Pelodiscus sinensis: one gene and its partner. The protein of the gene in region 1 binds, or shares a complex with, the protein of each later gene. Links are inferred from orthologs where the notes say so. Each region holds a gene or a part of one and is shown in the gene's direction. Other genes may lie near its edges.

The links.
Region 2: the proteins of NPR3 (region 1) and NPPC are in contact, whole or in part, in a crystal structure (PDB 1JDP), measured with the Homo sapiens proteins. The link is inferred for Pelodiscus sinensis from reciprocal best matches to the Homo sapiens genes NPR3 and NPPC. Residues at the interface, in NP_001191304.1 of Homo sapiens: Asn110, Tyr138, Ala141, Pro142, Arg145, Ala161, Gly163, Phe164, His166, Glu170, Tyr171, Tyr204, Lys208, Leu209, Arg211, Tyr214, Phe215, Leu217, Glu218, His221, Glu222, Gln225, Ile233; in NP_077720.1 of Homo sapiens: Gly109, Cys110, Phe111, Gly112, Leu113, Lys114, Leu115, Asp116, Arg117, Ile118, Gly119, Ser120, Met121, Ser122, Gly123, Leu124, Gly125, Cys126.

Annotation. Positions count from the first base shown.
Region 1 is NC_134716.1:107,934,546-107,941,503, forward strand, and holds the start of NPR3 (atrial natriuretic peptide receptor 3), read left to right. Parts: upstream 1-3,945; 5' UTR 3,946-4,271; coding exon 4,272-4,962; intron 4,963-6,958. UniProt on the Homo sapiens protein: Receptor for the natriuretic peptide hormones, binding with similar affinities atrial natriuretic peptide NPPA/ANP, brain natriuretic peptide NPPB/BNP, and C-type natriuretic peptide NPPC/CNP.
Region 2 is NC_134720.1:49,834,600-49,842,614, forward strand, and holds the start of NPPC (C-type natriuretic peptide), read left to right. Parts: upstream 1-5,005; 5' UTR 5,006-5,144; coding exon 5,145-5,237; intron 5,238-6,683; coding exon 6,684-6,941; 3' UTR 6,942-6,961; intron 6,962-8,015.

The DNA of each region.
Region 1 (6,958 bases):
GAGGAAGATGATCCAAGTTCTTTCCCATGATCTATCTCAGACCTTTAGTGTGGCCATAATCAATCCCCTTAACCCTTCTGTTTCCCCATCTGTAAAACTGAACTAATTATATTTACTTATCTTTCAAATAGGCTTGGTGTACAGTGAAGTTTAATTTGTTAATCTGCCAGGTACTTGGGATCTGCACATAGAAGTCACCACAGAACCAAAACGTTATTCATTATTAATTATTATTTTTGTATTATTAAACTAGGTTTTCTAATATATCCTCTTTGGCCCTAATATACATCACTCATTGTTGGTGAATTTCCTTTATGTATTTCAATAACAAAAGAAAAAACATTAAAGAAGATCTTATATTAATTTGTTTAATTTAATTTTTTGTTATGAGTTTTGTCCTTCATGAAATTTCATGCTGTAGTATCTTCATTTAAAAGCTTGGTTGCATTTCACTTAACATTATGTACAAAAACATGAAAAAGATACACTGAGATATATAATGAATCAATAGCACATCCATAATATACAATATAACAACAAAATAAAATAAAAACTGCATAGGAAAACAGGGAAAGAATTTAAAAATTGAAAAAGTAGGAAATTATTTGCACAGCAGACAGTATTAAGTTCTTTCATCTTTTCAACCTCTAGGGGGTACTGTGTTTTCATCAAACCCTCCCCCAAGAAGAACTTTCTTAAACTAGATGAGGCTTCATAAACTGTTCTTAATGTTATCTGGAACTTTAATTTAGGAATTAAGCCTTCCAGAATAAAAAGTACAATTTACTGTAATGCTTTGTGTTGGAACAGTGACTCTACTCTTGATTGGTATGCATGCTATTTTGGGAGGAAAATACCATTTCATAATTATCTTAATCCTAAAGGGACAGATTCTGAAATCTTCATTCTTATTGTAGCCAATGGGCATGTTGCCTGACAAAAGATTCAGGACTGTACAAGATTTTCCTCTTAACAATTGTGTATGTAGCTGAAATTACTTATGTTTGCTCATGAGAAAGCAATCTTAGATTTATAGCCCTGGAAAATATTTGTGGCCATACTGTATTTTTACTCATGAGAAGGTGGATTAAATGATAGATGCAATTTGGATCAACAATAAATTGTTATACATACACTTTGGGCTCCAAAAGATCCTGGTGCTTTAAGGATCTGATCCAGAAATGTTTATTAAAGCAGATATCCACTAGATTGAATGGCAATGCTCAAGTGCATAAGAGTTGCAGGTTGGGGCAGGCCTAAATCCAAATCTGCATCTATATATCAAAACTGGCCTTCAAGCTTCTATTAGCAACTGGTATTTTCCAGTCTTCTTTTTATCATTTTTGTCCTGTATACTTAGTACCTTATATTCCCTGAGGAGTAGTTAAAATAAATTAGGATGGCTGACTTGTGATTTGTTTGCTTCTTATCTCTTCCATATTGGCACAGTTTATGCTCTCAGACAAAAAGCAGCACACACAAATGAAAGACAAATTTTGAACAAAAAAAACTAAGAGATGTTGCCAGGTTGCAGTGTCATAAACAGACATGTGGGGTCAATGGAAAGCAGGGGCTGGCAATGCAGCATACAAAATTATCTTCATTGGAACAGATGTACCCATTTAACTTAAAAACCATTCTGAAACCAAATTAAGTAATCACATAATTACTTGAAATGTATATCTTCCAGGCAAGTTGCTTCTCCTAGAACTTCTGCATCTTATTTTTGGCTAATCTCCATTTGATAAATATTCCAGAAAAATATCCTAGTTTAATTTTTGTTTAGTTGCTGTGCACAGGAAATAAAATAATGTGATTGGGCATTTTTAATTCCATTGCTTAGTTTAATTGCTTTACAAGCATTTGTAGTTTCCTCCTGTGTTTAATTCAGACTTCACTGCTCTCAAAGACAAACAGCTGGATTCCACTAGGAACCAAAGTCTCCAATTTGCACTCTGTACAGTAAGGCAGCAACAATTTGTTTATAGACATTGCCCTGACAATGACCTCAACCCTGAGCTAAACAGACCCCTCCTGTAAGGTTAGAAGCAGTTCACTCACCCACCAGTATAACCTGGGGCCTCTCCTAATAAGTATAAAATGTAACATTATGCAGTATTACTCTGTGCGTGCAGACAAGGACCACTGACCAATATGAAATATGCAGAATCACAGAGATCTCGCATTTACAAGTGATAAATGCAGTTAGTTCTCCTCTCCACTCTGTTCCTATCTTCCTTCACTATATCATTTTAATTCTTTTCAATATTTAGTGTTGAGAAAGGTTTCTTATTCAGAAAAAAATCATCCATTTGCAAGTGGCAGTTCCAAAAGTTATAGTTCTTTGCTAGCAATACATATTAAAAACAAGATTGTTGTTTTTTTCTACCATGGACAACAGCTAAGTAAATTAGTCAGACAGTGGTGTCCAAACTACTTAAGGGAATTTTTCACACCAAAGCATAGTGTTAAATAAGCAATTCTCTGAACAGTAAATACAAGTTCGTTATATGAAATAATATAAGTGAAAAACAAGTTTTGCTTTTAGTTAGACACTTTATTTCCTGGGGCACACAAAGTCTTCTGCGGAATTAAACTGTGTCTATTAAGCTCCTAAGGAGGGGTAATGCAGAACTGTTCTAAGGGTTACACCATGGGGCACTGTCTCAGAGTGGCACAATGTTTCCCAGATCTCCTCGGTTTCATGGAGTGGGGGTATTTACATCATTTTAAAGGAGGCAGTTTGCTTCTCATGCTGCCGACCAGTTCTGCTGGATAGTTTGTGGGTCACATCCAAAATCCTACCTACTCCCTGACCCTAGTGAGCCTCTTAGATCTATCCTCTGGGAATCCCTGGATGCTAGTGTTTCAATTATGCTTCTCCCCAAGAAAGCTGTGACAAGTAGCAGGGCTTTCTCTCCCACACAACCCCAGAAACAAGGGCACAATTAGCACATGTTAATTTAGGGGCAGATACTGCAAGCTTTACTCACATTGCTACTCCACTGATTCCCATGGAACTGCCAGTGAAATACAGGAAGTAGCCCGTACGCTCGTCACCCACTCTGGGGCTGAGTTGTTCTACCACGAGGAGTTGCTCCACTCGTGGCAATGGGTGCGCTCTCGCACTAAGGTACCACTCAGCCGGAGCCCATGTGGCACGCTGAGCGCAGTACCAAACTGCCCACTATAATACTGCTCTGTCTGGGATCCTGCCTGGGGGCCCAAGGAAAGCAGCTACTATGTCCTCTTCCTTCCAGGTCCTGTGCTGATCCCAGCAGGACCGCTGACTAGCTGACCGCTACCTTCCCTTGCTGCAGAACAGCTGCAGGGTGCTTTTGCCCAGAGCATTTCTCACAGCCACTCTGCCACTTCCAGCGGGGGCTGCTGTTGCATGACAGGATCTTTTATTGGTGGGGCTGGGGGATTAATTCATTCGGAGGGCAGCTCGCAGTCCGGAGAGCAGCGCTACTAAACGCCGGTGCTTTGCTTTAGCTCCGGGACAGGCTGGCTGCCTCTTGCACTGGCCCAGCCGCTTCCCATCCACAGTTACTACAGCATTACGAGCCAACTTCGTGCGTGTTACTCGCGCTCGCCGCATCCCCAGGTCCGGATTTTAAACGCGTCTTTTACACGCCCTGATGGGACACGCGCACGATGGGGGTGCAGGGATATCCAAAGTCCGCATTGCAAAGGGGGAGAACGATTTGTTTCGTTGCCTCCGCACCTCTCCCCTTGCTCCCCTATTTGCAGTCACAGCTCATCAGAGCGCTCCCGGACGGGATGGACGGCTGGCTGGGTACAGGAAGAGGGGTGGCGGGCTGGGGGGAGTCGGGATTTTCTTGGGGGGGAGGAGGGCGGAGGGGCGGATCAGCCCTGCAGGAATGTTAATGAACGGCTCCTCCCCAAACACAAACCCGGCCTCGCAGCGCCATGTGTGGCAACAGGCGCGTTGGCTCCCACACTATTTAAACACAGGGCTATAGACCAGGGAGGATCAATAAGATCAGGAAGGAGGCAGCGCGTGGGGAGGAAGATGCCCCACCATTAGCAAGTTGCTGGGCCAGTTAACCTGAAAAACACCCTTAAAAATAAGCCACCCAACAACGGAGCGAGAGCCCAGCAGCTGCCTCTCACCCCAGGCGTTTGATCCCTGTATTAAAGTGTGCAGGGGGAAGAGGTTGGTAGCACTTTCTTGTTCTGTGCAGGGCACCCAGGGGGACTCGGAGGCAGCAGCGAGAGGGGGGAGGGAGCTCACTGCTATTGAAACAATGCCATCCTTCTTCTCACTTAGCCTCCCCTGCGTCCTGGCGGCTTGGATGCTCCTGGCAAGCAGCAGCAGCCCCGAGGAGGAGAAGCTGATCAGGGTCCTGGTGCTGCTGCCCAAGGACAACTCCTACCTGTTCTCCGTGGCCAGGGTCAAGCCAGGCATCGAGTACGCCGTGCGGAGCCTGCAGGAGAACGGGACCTGCCTGCCGGGCTACCGCTTCGAGACCATCTACGAGGACTCCGAGTGCGGCAACCGGGCGCTCTTCAGCCTGGTGGACCTGGTGGCCCTGAAGCAGCAGAAACCGGACCTGGTGCTGGGGCCGGTCTGCGAGTACGCGGCTGCCCCGGTGGCTCGGCTGGCCTCGCACTGGAACCTGCCCATGATCTCGGCGGGGGCGCTGGCCACTGGCTTCAGCACCAAGACGGGCGAGTACTCGCACCTGATCCGCGTCTCGCCCGCCTACTCCAAGATGGGCGAGATGTTCCTGGCCCTCTTCCGGCACCACAAGTGGAGCCGGGCCACGCTGCTCTACAGCGACAACAACCAGGAGCGCAACTGCTACTTCACCATGGAGGGGGTGCATGTGGTCTTCCAGGAGGAGGCGTTCCACATGGCCGTGCACAGCTTCGACGAGAGCGGCCGCTACTTGGACCTGGACGAGATCGTGCGCTCCATCCAGGCCGGGGAGCGAGGTGAGTGAGCCGTCGGCCCGGGGCATCTGCGGCGGGAAACCCTCGCTCACGCTCCGCTGGAGCAGGAGCCAGCCATGGCTATAGCCCGGCGGTTCCCCTCTGCGCTCACCAGCTCCCGCCAGCGCCTCCAGAGGGAACTTTCTCCAAACCAGTCCCCCCGGCGCCGCTGGAGGAGCCTTGGCCAAATCATCGCCCCCTTCCCCCATCGGGCACCCGCCATAAAAACCTGGCCCAAGCGCTGCCTGCCCAAGCCTTGAGCCAGCCTCGCCGAAAGCGCCTGGTGGAGGCGCTTAGCCCCCTTGTGTGGCCGTGCGGAGGCGCTGTGGCTCAGGCTCCGCCGCCTTGCACCAGCTCCGAGCGGGTGCGAGACTCTGTTGGACCCGAGTCCGCAGAGACTCGCCTGGCGTACATGGCTGCGCGCGGGTCAAGAGGGTTGAACATCCGTCTCCCAGGGGTGTAGTGGAGCAGATCTTCATGGGCAGCCAGTCACTGCCGGGTCGTGACCTGCGGGAATTGGGACCGCAGGCCGCCCCCGTTGGAGGAAAGATGCAGCATTGTGCGAGGATTAGGGGGATGGTCTTCCAATCCCCTTTGTGGCTAGTCATTGCGCGGGGATTGCTCTGCCCGGGTGCCACAGTGCTTCATTCCCACGCGCACTGCCTGCACATAGGGGGCGTTGAGGGGCGTCCTAGCGTGCAAAACATGCCGCTCGGAATTCAGTCCTGCCCGCGGCTTGCTGGACGCGCTCACTCACAGTCCCTTTGAGTAACGCCGGCTCAGACACACGGCTCCGGAGCGCGCGCCAGCTCCCTTCCCTGGGAACTAGTGCGTGCAGCGAGCTGCATGTCTCCGGCGCTGTTCTCGCCCTGTGCACCTGAACTAGGGGAGAGGGGACGTAGGTGCATGGACATACGTGGCAGCGTGTCTGGTCTGTGATGCAGTTCTTTGTAGCTGCATTCAGCCGGGCTGACATTGAGGCTCTGTCTGAAAGCAAAGCAAACTCCTGGGGAAGTAACACAGAGACATGCATGTGAGTTGATAAAAGCAGAGTTGCTTATCAAGGCTCGGGGGCAGAGTAATCTGAAATCCAAACCACTGTGCGCAAGAAATGATGAATAAACCCGACTGTGATTATGAAAATGCTCAGGAAGGGATAACAACATTGGTCCAGAACGATTTAAACCGTCAGGCATTGCTTGGTTGTTTATCTCCTGTTGAAGCTAAATGTTCGAGTATCTTTTCTTCAGCTAGCTCTTCGCGTGTCTTTGCTTTTTCTGTTTTACAAGCGGGTACTACTAGTTGTTTTCTCAGGTACATAATAGCAAACGACATGCCAGATTTTTTTCTAGGGCTTCACTTAACACGGTCCATATTAGAAATATTACTTGTACTTCGAGATAAGTAGGAAATTTTCTAGGCTATTTTGTGCTTTCAAACGACCACTCACACTATCAGTAGGGCATATCTTTTGTGTCGTTTCCTGTTTTTATTCAGATCGGGAAGTTTTCCTCCGTTCAGGTCTCACACTGATGGCTTTTAGGTTGTTTTAGTTCAGCACTATGGTAGCTATCAAAGGAGCCAGTTATGCAAGTTGTTGGGGGTGGGATATACACTGCAGAAACTTTACACTGGCTCTGCTGTGTTTCTCATTGCATATGTATGTCATCTGTTATGCAGAGACATCTCAAAGGGCAGATTTCCCTGTTGGTCTGAGGCACTTGAAGACTGACTGAGCAATATTATGTCTCTCTCACACACACAACATAGTAATAGATAAATAATCAAATAATCTAAATAACCAGACCAAATAATCTAAACGTAAGAGTAAAAGAAACATAGGATGCTTGTGTGGTGTATTTGAGTATGAAAATTGCATGTGGTTTCTGAGTAACCTGCTTAGAACTTTATGGGAACTTGCCATACAGTAATTAAGGTGGGCATATAGTTCCTTTAAGGTTACATTTAAATACTGAGTCTTGCACTTTCTTACACCAAG
Region 2 (8,015 bases), on another chromosome or scaffold:
AAGCGAGTGTGTGTTTTCCCACCACCCTCCTCCATGGCTACACTTAACAGGTCCTGGTATCCCTCCCAGCAAGGGCTCTGCCCAACACTTCCCCCAGCAGATGTCTGCTCCCCGTGGGCCTTTTTCTACCTCCCACCACCGGCAGCCTAGACCTACTACTCATCCAGCTGCCAGGTTTTCCTTATATCATGCAGGGCTGTCATATAACTGGCTACATCAGACACAGGTGAGCCCAGTTTGGAGCGGCTGCACTGAGCCATTCATGAAAAAACAGCTGGTCGGGGGACTCTAGAACCAATCAGAGTTTCCCGGGTCTTGAATTCCAAGCCCTGTGCGGCAAGGTCTTGCTCAGTGGAAAGTGCCAGCTACAGTGCAGACATGCCCATGCATGTCAGAACCCATGGCCAAAGTTTTCAAGCGGAAGTGCCTCAAGCAAGGCACCTAAATTCAAATCTCAGCCTAGATCCTCAAAGCCGAGGGGAGTGGGGTGCAAAAGCCCCTTTGAGGGTCTGGACCCTTGTAGCTCCGTTTTCGCAGTCCTGCGCCCGTCTCCTCCCATCAGTCTCAGGGAGAGCCAGGCTGCTCAGCACCCCTGAAAACCAGGATCTGCCCAGCCATGGCTTCCTCTGGATTTAAATGACCGACTTTGGGCAGTTAGGTTTGCAACTGTTGGCCCATGTCACGGCTCACCGCAGCCAAGAGGACGGAAACTGCGGGGAGGGGTTTAAAAATCCAGGATAGGGAAACCAGTCCGGGCAGGTACACACAGTGCATCTCCTGCCCTCACCCTGTGTGTGCGGGGGGGGGGGGGCTGTCAGTGTGGCAGGGGAAGGCAAACCCACAAAATCCCCTCTCCCCGCTGATGCTCTTAGGACAGTCTCTTCACAGCTGATTTTGTACGGCCTCCTTTTTAAAAAGTACAAACCCTGAATTTGGAGCTGAAAATCCTGGGATTCGCCCCGCCCCCTTCCCAGACACAATATTTAATGAACCCCCTGAACTCTCCCATAAAGGGCAGCAGGTTTGATGGGTTCTCTTATCCCAAGAAAGTCTTAGAGGCTTCACTTCCCGCCCTGTGGGGTTCGCAAGACAGCCGCTGCTCTGGGGGGACCTAGACCCTCTTCTGTCTATACCGCCTTCGCGCCCAGCGATGCCACCTGCAGCCATGCCAACAGGGCAAAGCTAAATGGCTCTGGGGGGTAGATGGCTACAGATACACTTCTGGGCATGTGCCTGCAGCAGGCCCCCTGACATGTCCCCCACCCCCGGCCAGGTGCTGTCTCGGTGCCGGAGTGGGAGCTGTTGCTTCTGCTTCTCTGATCCCATGGCTGTTGTTCCCAAGGCGGCAGCAGTGACGTCCTGATTCTGTGTCCGCACTGGTGTAGATCCAGGATTGACTCCATTGAAGTCAGTGGAGCTGCCCCTAGGGGAGAAGCAGAGTCAGTGAGATCAGGAGCAGCGGGGCCCACTCGTGCCTGGCCCCCCCTTTATTAAAGCTCTGAGGTGGCTGCGAATGGCGAGGGTGCTGCAGCATCATCTCCGGGGTGTTTCCGTCCCCGTAAGGACAGAGGGCTGGTGGAGGTTTCTTTGGTGCCTCACTGTTCCCAAGGCAGTGCCAGCTTGGAAGCACAGCCCCTGGGGCCGGGAGGTGTTTCATGAGCAGGGGACATGTGGCTGAGCCAAGCAGCCCCCGTATAAAGACAGTGGCCTGGAAATTCCATCACACGGGACAGCAGCAAAGGTCTGAGACTAACCCCTCCTCCGCCACTGCTCCGGCCAGGGACAGGTTGCCTCCAATCAGCCCGAATGGGAACTCCCTGGGTCACGGGCATCGCGAGAAAAATGGGCACCACATTGGGGCAGGCTGGGCTGTGTCCAAGGTCAGAGGTCAGAGGAGTTCATGGACATCCGGAACCTCCAGCTTGTGATCCAGCTGCCCATGGCCTGTGATTTGCTGGCCGATATTGACAAGGGCCCAGAACCCCAAAGATATGTAGGCACCTACCATTGAAATCAAGGGTCTAATAAGCGAACTTGCCCCCCATGGGGTTTCAGTGAATGTTACCAGTTACCTATGTTACCCCTCTACATCAGGCTGGCCCATGCCCAGCCCTGGCTAATGGCCTGGGTTATCACCGCTGGCGCTGAAGGAATTAGACAGGGCATTAGTCAAGGCAACCTTCAGCCCCCGCCATGAGCCCATACTGAAAATTACCCCCCAAGTAAAGAGCAAATGAAAGAGACAAGGACAATGGTTTGTTTGTCACTTCTTTGGCCCCATCCCCCGTGGGCTGGATCGCCCCTTTGAGGGCATGATGTTAAATAAACTGAGGTTTGGTTACAGTTCCCAGTGTTCCTCCCCCATGTGGACCCCGAGTCCAGACCCTTTGGCAACAGCGCCCCTGGCTGCCTCCCTTGCCGTGGGCCTGGCCTCTGGCCCTGTGTAGACGTGGTTTGAAATGTTTGATGTGGCACCGGTTTAAAGCTGTGTTTGAAACGATCTCGGCCCCACAGGGGTAAGTCCTCTTGCCGGATGGATGAGGCTGATCATGACAGGCACTAGGGAAGGATGTGTCGCTCCCCCTTCCGGCCCCCCGGCATGCTGGCTGCAGGGCCATGTCTCTGGTCCATTCAGTCACTCCTGCACCCGTCTTCTTTTTCCTGCCCCTCAGAGTGATTTGCATTTCATGGGGCCTTACCCAGCTGTGAGCTGTGTATGTGGCATTGCAGGCTCCAGCGGCCAGCCCCATCCCTCAGCAGGGCCATCTCTAGGGGGCCACAGAGCCTGGGACAACCCCACCCTGCTCCCTCCCCTCCACAGCCCCTAAGCCCTGACCCCACTCTGCCCCTCCCCTCCCCCGCTTCTCCCGAGCCCCCTTCTCCAAGTGACTGTGGCCTATGGATTAGTGGAGGGCCTGGTGCTGGCAGCGGGGTCAGCCTGCCCCCACACTCGGGAAGCCGAGTGAGCTAGCCCCAGCCCGTTCTAATCATGACACCGCTGAATGTGCTGAACCCAGCGTCCGACCGTTCCTGCCTGGCTTTTGTAGCCCTTCCCCACCACGCCGCAGCTCAATAGTTCAGCGCCAACGCTACCAGGGAGCTGCAAAGTCCTTCCCCTCTGCCAAGCTCCATGCCAGCTAGATGCTCTTGTAGCCCCTGGAATGTCACTGTCCAGCCAGGAGGTTCCAAGGTGCTGGTCTGCCATGGCGGGACAAGGCCTTGCACCCTGGTGGGTTTGTAGTGGGGTCCAGCAGAGGACCTGCGAGAGGTCAGGAATTAGACTCCAGACCCTTTGGCAACAGCTCCCCAGGCCACCTCCCTTGCTGTGGCCCTGGCCTCTGGCCCTGTGTAAAATGAAGCGTTTCTTCACCCTCCCGGACACTGACGAAGAACCTGCCACAATCAGACACTACTGCAAACCTCACAGGTGTGGGGCCCTTAGGACCAGCTCCCCTCGCAGACTGGCTGCCTGTCACCCTGGGGCTGCTGCCTCTGAGACAGAGGCAGCAGCGTGAGGTGGCAGCAGCCTCTCTCCAGCGGGGTGATGGTGTCTGAGCTCCCGAACCTGGCGCAAGCCAGGACTGAGCCGGGCTGCCTAACGCACTTTAAATGCAGAGCCACAGTAGGGGTAGGTCCTGGACCTGGCACAAACCAGGACTGAGCTGGCTGCTGGCCAGCCTGCTAAAAAATGTACTGGCAGAGGGGATGTGTGTAGTCTACAGCATTAATCAATATGCTTTTGCTTATCGGTGAATCAGTTAATCGATTAATCAACTACTCTATGACATCCCTAGTCCAGAGATCACTGAAGTGTGGCCACCACTGGGGAGGTGACTCTGATCTCACCTGCTTTTCTTCTCTTCCTGCCCTAAACTGACCAGTGTTGCTGTGAGCTGTTAAAAAGCTGCCTCCTTGGACCCCAGAGGCAGCCCCATTGCAGAGTCCTGCCTAGATCCTTTGAACAGACTCTTTGGGGAAGAAAAGTCCTAGCCAGAAAATAAGATACTGGGCCAAATTCTGCTCTCGGTTCCTCCTCTGCAGTCCTGGTCACTGGGGCATGAGCCCTCCAAGCTCCAGTCTCTGCCCCCCAGGAACAAACCCAGGAGCTGAAAGCAGCCCAGAGCATCCCAGCCTGGCAGGGACCTGAGACTGGGTCCTTCCAGCTCCCCCGGCTCAACCCCCTTTGTGCCCAGCAGCCCGGCCGGGGCAGAGTCCTGCCCCACTGCACGCAGGCGGCTGGGGGGCGCAGGCCTGACCCCAGGCAGGGGGCAGCGCTGGAGCCCTGCTGAGTAATCACCCCCCAGAGCTTCTCCCGGCTGCCAGGTACCAGCGCTGCCTCCCCAAGGCGCAGGGAGCTCCTGGCCCCCGGCCTGCGCCTAGCTTCGTGGGCAAGGGACTCCCCCCCCCCCCGCGCTGCCCCGAGTCCAGGCGCCGAGACCCCGGGCCGTGGGGAGCGGCCAGGCGGGTGGCGGGGCCCGGGCCGGGTTCCGAGCCAGCGCCCCGGCTGCGGGAAGCCCCGACACGGCGCGGAGCGAGCCGGCCCCGGGCGCCCCGACTCTCCCGGCGAGGACCCAGCGCTCGTCGGCAGCGCGGAGCGGGCTTGGCTCAGAGCCCCCGGCCCGGAGCCCCGCTCCCGCCCTGGCCCGGAGGGGCCACCCCGGGGCCCCTGGCGCCCCCCAAAGCCCCGGCAGGTGAGCGCCGGCGGGGGAAGCCCCAAGCGGGGCCGGGGGCGCAGCCGGAGCCACCTGCTTTGGGGACGAAGCGCCCGGGGCCGGCGGGTGGCTCGAGCTGGCGCCGGGCAGGGCGGGCTGGGGGTGGCCGCGGGCTCCCCGGAGGGGTCGGCCCCGCGCGCCCTGCGCCCCCGGCACCAAGCGGCCAAGCTGCGCCCAGCCAGCCCCACGCGTGTCACGGGGGCCGCCGCGCGCTGGCGGAGCAGGGGGCTGGGCCGGACCTGCGGGGCAGATGACATCACCAGGCAGGTTGGGCTATAAAGGGGCTGGAGGAGCAGCCCCGAGCCCGGGCTCCGCACTTCGAGGAGCAGCAGGGTCGGGCTCGCGGCGCGCGCGGCTGACTCCCCTGGCTCGGCTCGGCTCGGCTCGGCGCGGCTCGCTCTGCCCGAACGCAGCGGGGCCCTGCCCCCCAGCATGCGGCTCTCACAGGTCCTGGCGTGCGGACTGCTCCTGGCCCTGCTGGCCGTCGGGCTGGAGGCGAGACCGGCGGCTCAGCCCCAGCAGAAGGTGAGGCGCGCTGGGCGCTGCGCCCTGGGGGGAGCCGAGAAGTTCAGGGACGGGACGGGGACCCCCAGCCCGCCCCGGGAAGGCGGATTCCCGGGGGAGGAAGGGGAACTCTGACAAGCGGGGTGGCTCCTTCCCTCCCGCAGCCCTGCCCCGCGCTGCTCCGTGCTGGGGCTTTTGGGGAATGTGGGGGCAGATCCCCCCCCCCCGCCTCCGGCGCAGCCTCCTGCTCTTTGGAGCTTCCCCCCTTTAGCCTTTTGGCTGCTGCTGGGTCTCAGGGTCTCCCGGCGTGTCCCTCCCCCCCGCCAGACCCCGGCTCCGGGTGGGGACTGGCCGCTCCGGCGGAGGCAGCTCTGCGCTCTGCTTTCCAGCCCGCTGGTGCTGAGGGAGAAGGGGGCTGGAGCGGAGCCGCCCCTCCCTGCCGGGTGTCACTGACCAGCCTCTGGCAGTGGGGCGGCCGGCAGGTGCATCGCGGCGCCCGTCGGTGCTGACTGCAGGAGGCAGCAGCAACCTGGGGGCTGGGACCCGACGGGCCAGGCCAGGGCCGGGGTCCTGGGCGCAAGGGAGAAGCTGGAGGGGGCGGGGACCGGGTCCCGCTGCACCATCTGCGGGTGGGAGGGGAGATGCCCGAGAACTCTGGGAGCGCGCAAGCGGGCGGGGGGGGGGGGATCTAGAACGGGGCGTCCCGGGGGCTGGAATCCGGGCTGGGGGGGTCTTTGGTGCCAGGAGGAGGCGGTTGGGATCGGGGCGGACGGAGGCTGGTACGGGGGGAATCGGGGCCGGAGGGATCGGGGCCGGTGGGGAGGCTGGGATGGGGCCGGAGGGATCGGGGCCGGTGGGGAGGCTGGGATGGGGCCGGAGGGATCGGGGCCGGTGGGGAGGCTGGGATCGGGGCCGGAGGGATCGGGGCCGGTGGGGAGGCTGGGATGGGGCCGGAGGGATCGGGGCCGGTGGGGAGGCTGGGATGGGGCCGGAGGGATCGGGGCCGGTGGGGAGGCTGGGATGGGGCCGGAGGGATCGGGGCCGGTGGGGAGGCTGGGATCGGGGCCGGAGGGATCGGGGCCGGTGGGGAGGCTGGGATCGGGGCCGGAGGGATCGGGGCCGGTGGGGAGGCTGGGATCGGGGCCGGAGGGATCGGGGCCGGTGGGGAGGCTGGGATCGGGGCCGGAGGGATCGGGGCCGGTGGGGAGGCTGGGATCGGGGCCGGAGGGATCGGGGCCGGTGGGGAGGCTGGGATGGGGCCGGAGGGATCGGGGCCGGTGGGGAGGCTGGGATCGGGGCCGGTGGGGAGGCTGGGATCGGGGCCGGAGGGATCGGGGCCGGTGGGGAGGCTGGGATCGGGGCCGGAGGGGAGGCTGGGATCGGGATCGGGCGGCTGGAGTCGGGCCGGGATCGGGGCCGGGGTCTGTGCCGCTTTCACGCCATCGCGCCCCGCGCTCCTCCCCGCAGGCTGCCCGGAACGCGCCGGGACGCGAACCCGCGGCGAGCCCCGCGCGAGAGGAGACTGCGGGCGGCGGCCGGGCAGCGGGCTCGCGGCTGCTGCGGGAGCTGCGCGTGGACACCAAGTCCCGGGCGGCCTGGGCCCGGCTGCTGCGCGACTACCCCGGCACGCGGCGGCACAAGGGCGTCAGCAAGAAGGGCCTGTCCAAGGGCTGCTTCGGCCTCAAGCTGGACCGGATCGGCTCCATGAGCGGCTTGGGCTGCTAGAGCGGCGACCCCTGGCGGCGGTGAGTGCCTCCTGCAGCCGGCTGGGCCGGGGCTGCACCTGCCGCGCGCGGGTCCCGCAGCCCCTGGGCTCCAGCTGCCCCCCAGCACAGCCCCACCCAGGGCCTCCTTAGCGTGTATGGGGCCCTACAGGACTGGTAAACTGGGCCCCGTGTGACGATTTTGTAGAGCCGTGATTTTATACTGACATGCCTGTGAAATGGCTTCATGACCCCAGCATGGCTCTTTCCCACGCTCCGTGCGCTGCCCATGGCTCTAGCAGGCTTTGTCACCTTTCGGTTAGCCAGATCCTCTCTGGCGGAAGCTCAGCCACAGAACAGGGATACTAAGACCCAGCGGGGCCCCTATGTAGCTGCACATTCTGCATATGGGTAAGGATGGCCCTGCCCCACCCCCCGCCTGTCTGCTCTGTCCTGAGCTGGCCAAAGCCACCAGCAGGGCATGACTGGCTCAGTCCAAGGGTCGGTCCAGTCCAGCGACAGTGGCCCCGGGGGGAATGCACAGATCAGGGCTATGGAGTGAGCCAGTCCCAGCTTCTGGTGCTCAGAGCTGTGGGGGACACACCTGAGCATGGTGTCTGGACACTGTATCAGTACAGAGCGTGTCTCCCCCATGGTGGAAATGCAGCCATGTCTAAGGTAGGATGGTGGGAACCAGCAAGATGCACAGTGGGGGAGGGTGCAATGGGGCCCAGGAAACACAGCCGAGTACCGTCACCCAACTAGGGAGGAACAGCCTAAGGAAATTCCAAATCCCCCTGTGTAATGTCTGATTTTGCTCTGGCAAGGCCAGGAGGCTGAGGCAGCAGCTTCACCTGCTTGGAATTGTTAAAGGTGTCTGTCAGATGCCCATCCCATAGCATCTGTGCTAGTATCTGCGGGCAGCTCCCTCTCGCTAAGGGCCAACCAGAGCTGTGGGGCACATGCAGAATTCAGCTGGGTTCACCCAAACTACCAGTTTCAATTTGTACAGGACGCTCCCCTTCTCATCCCAAAATGTGCTAGATATTAAAGTCCCTGGCTCATTAGCACACAGTGAGCAGTCGTACAAGGGTTA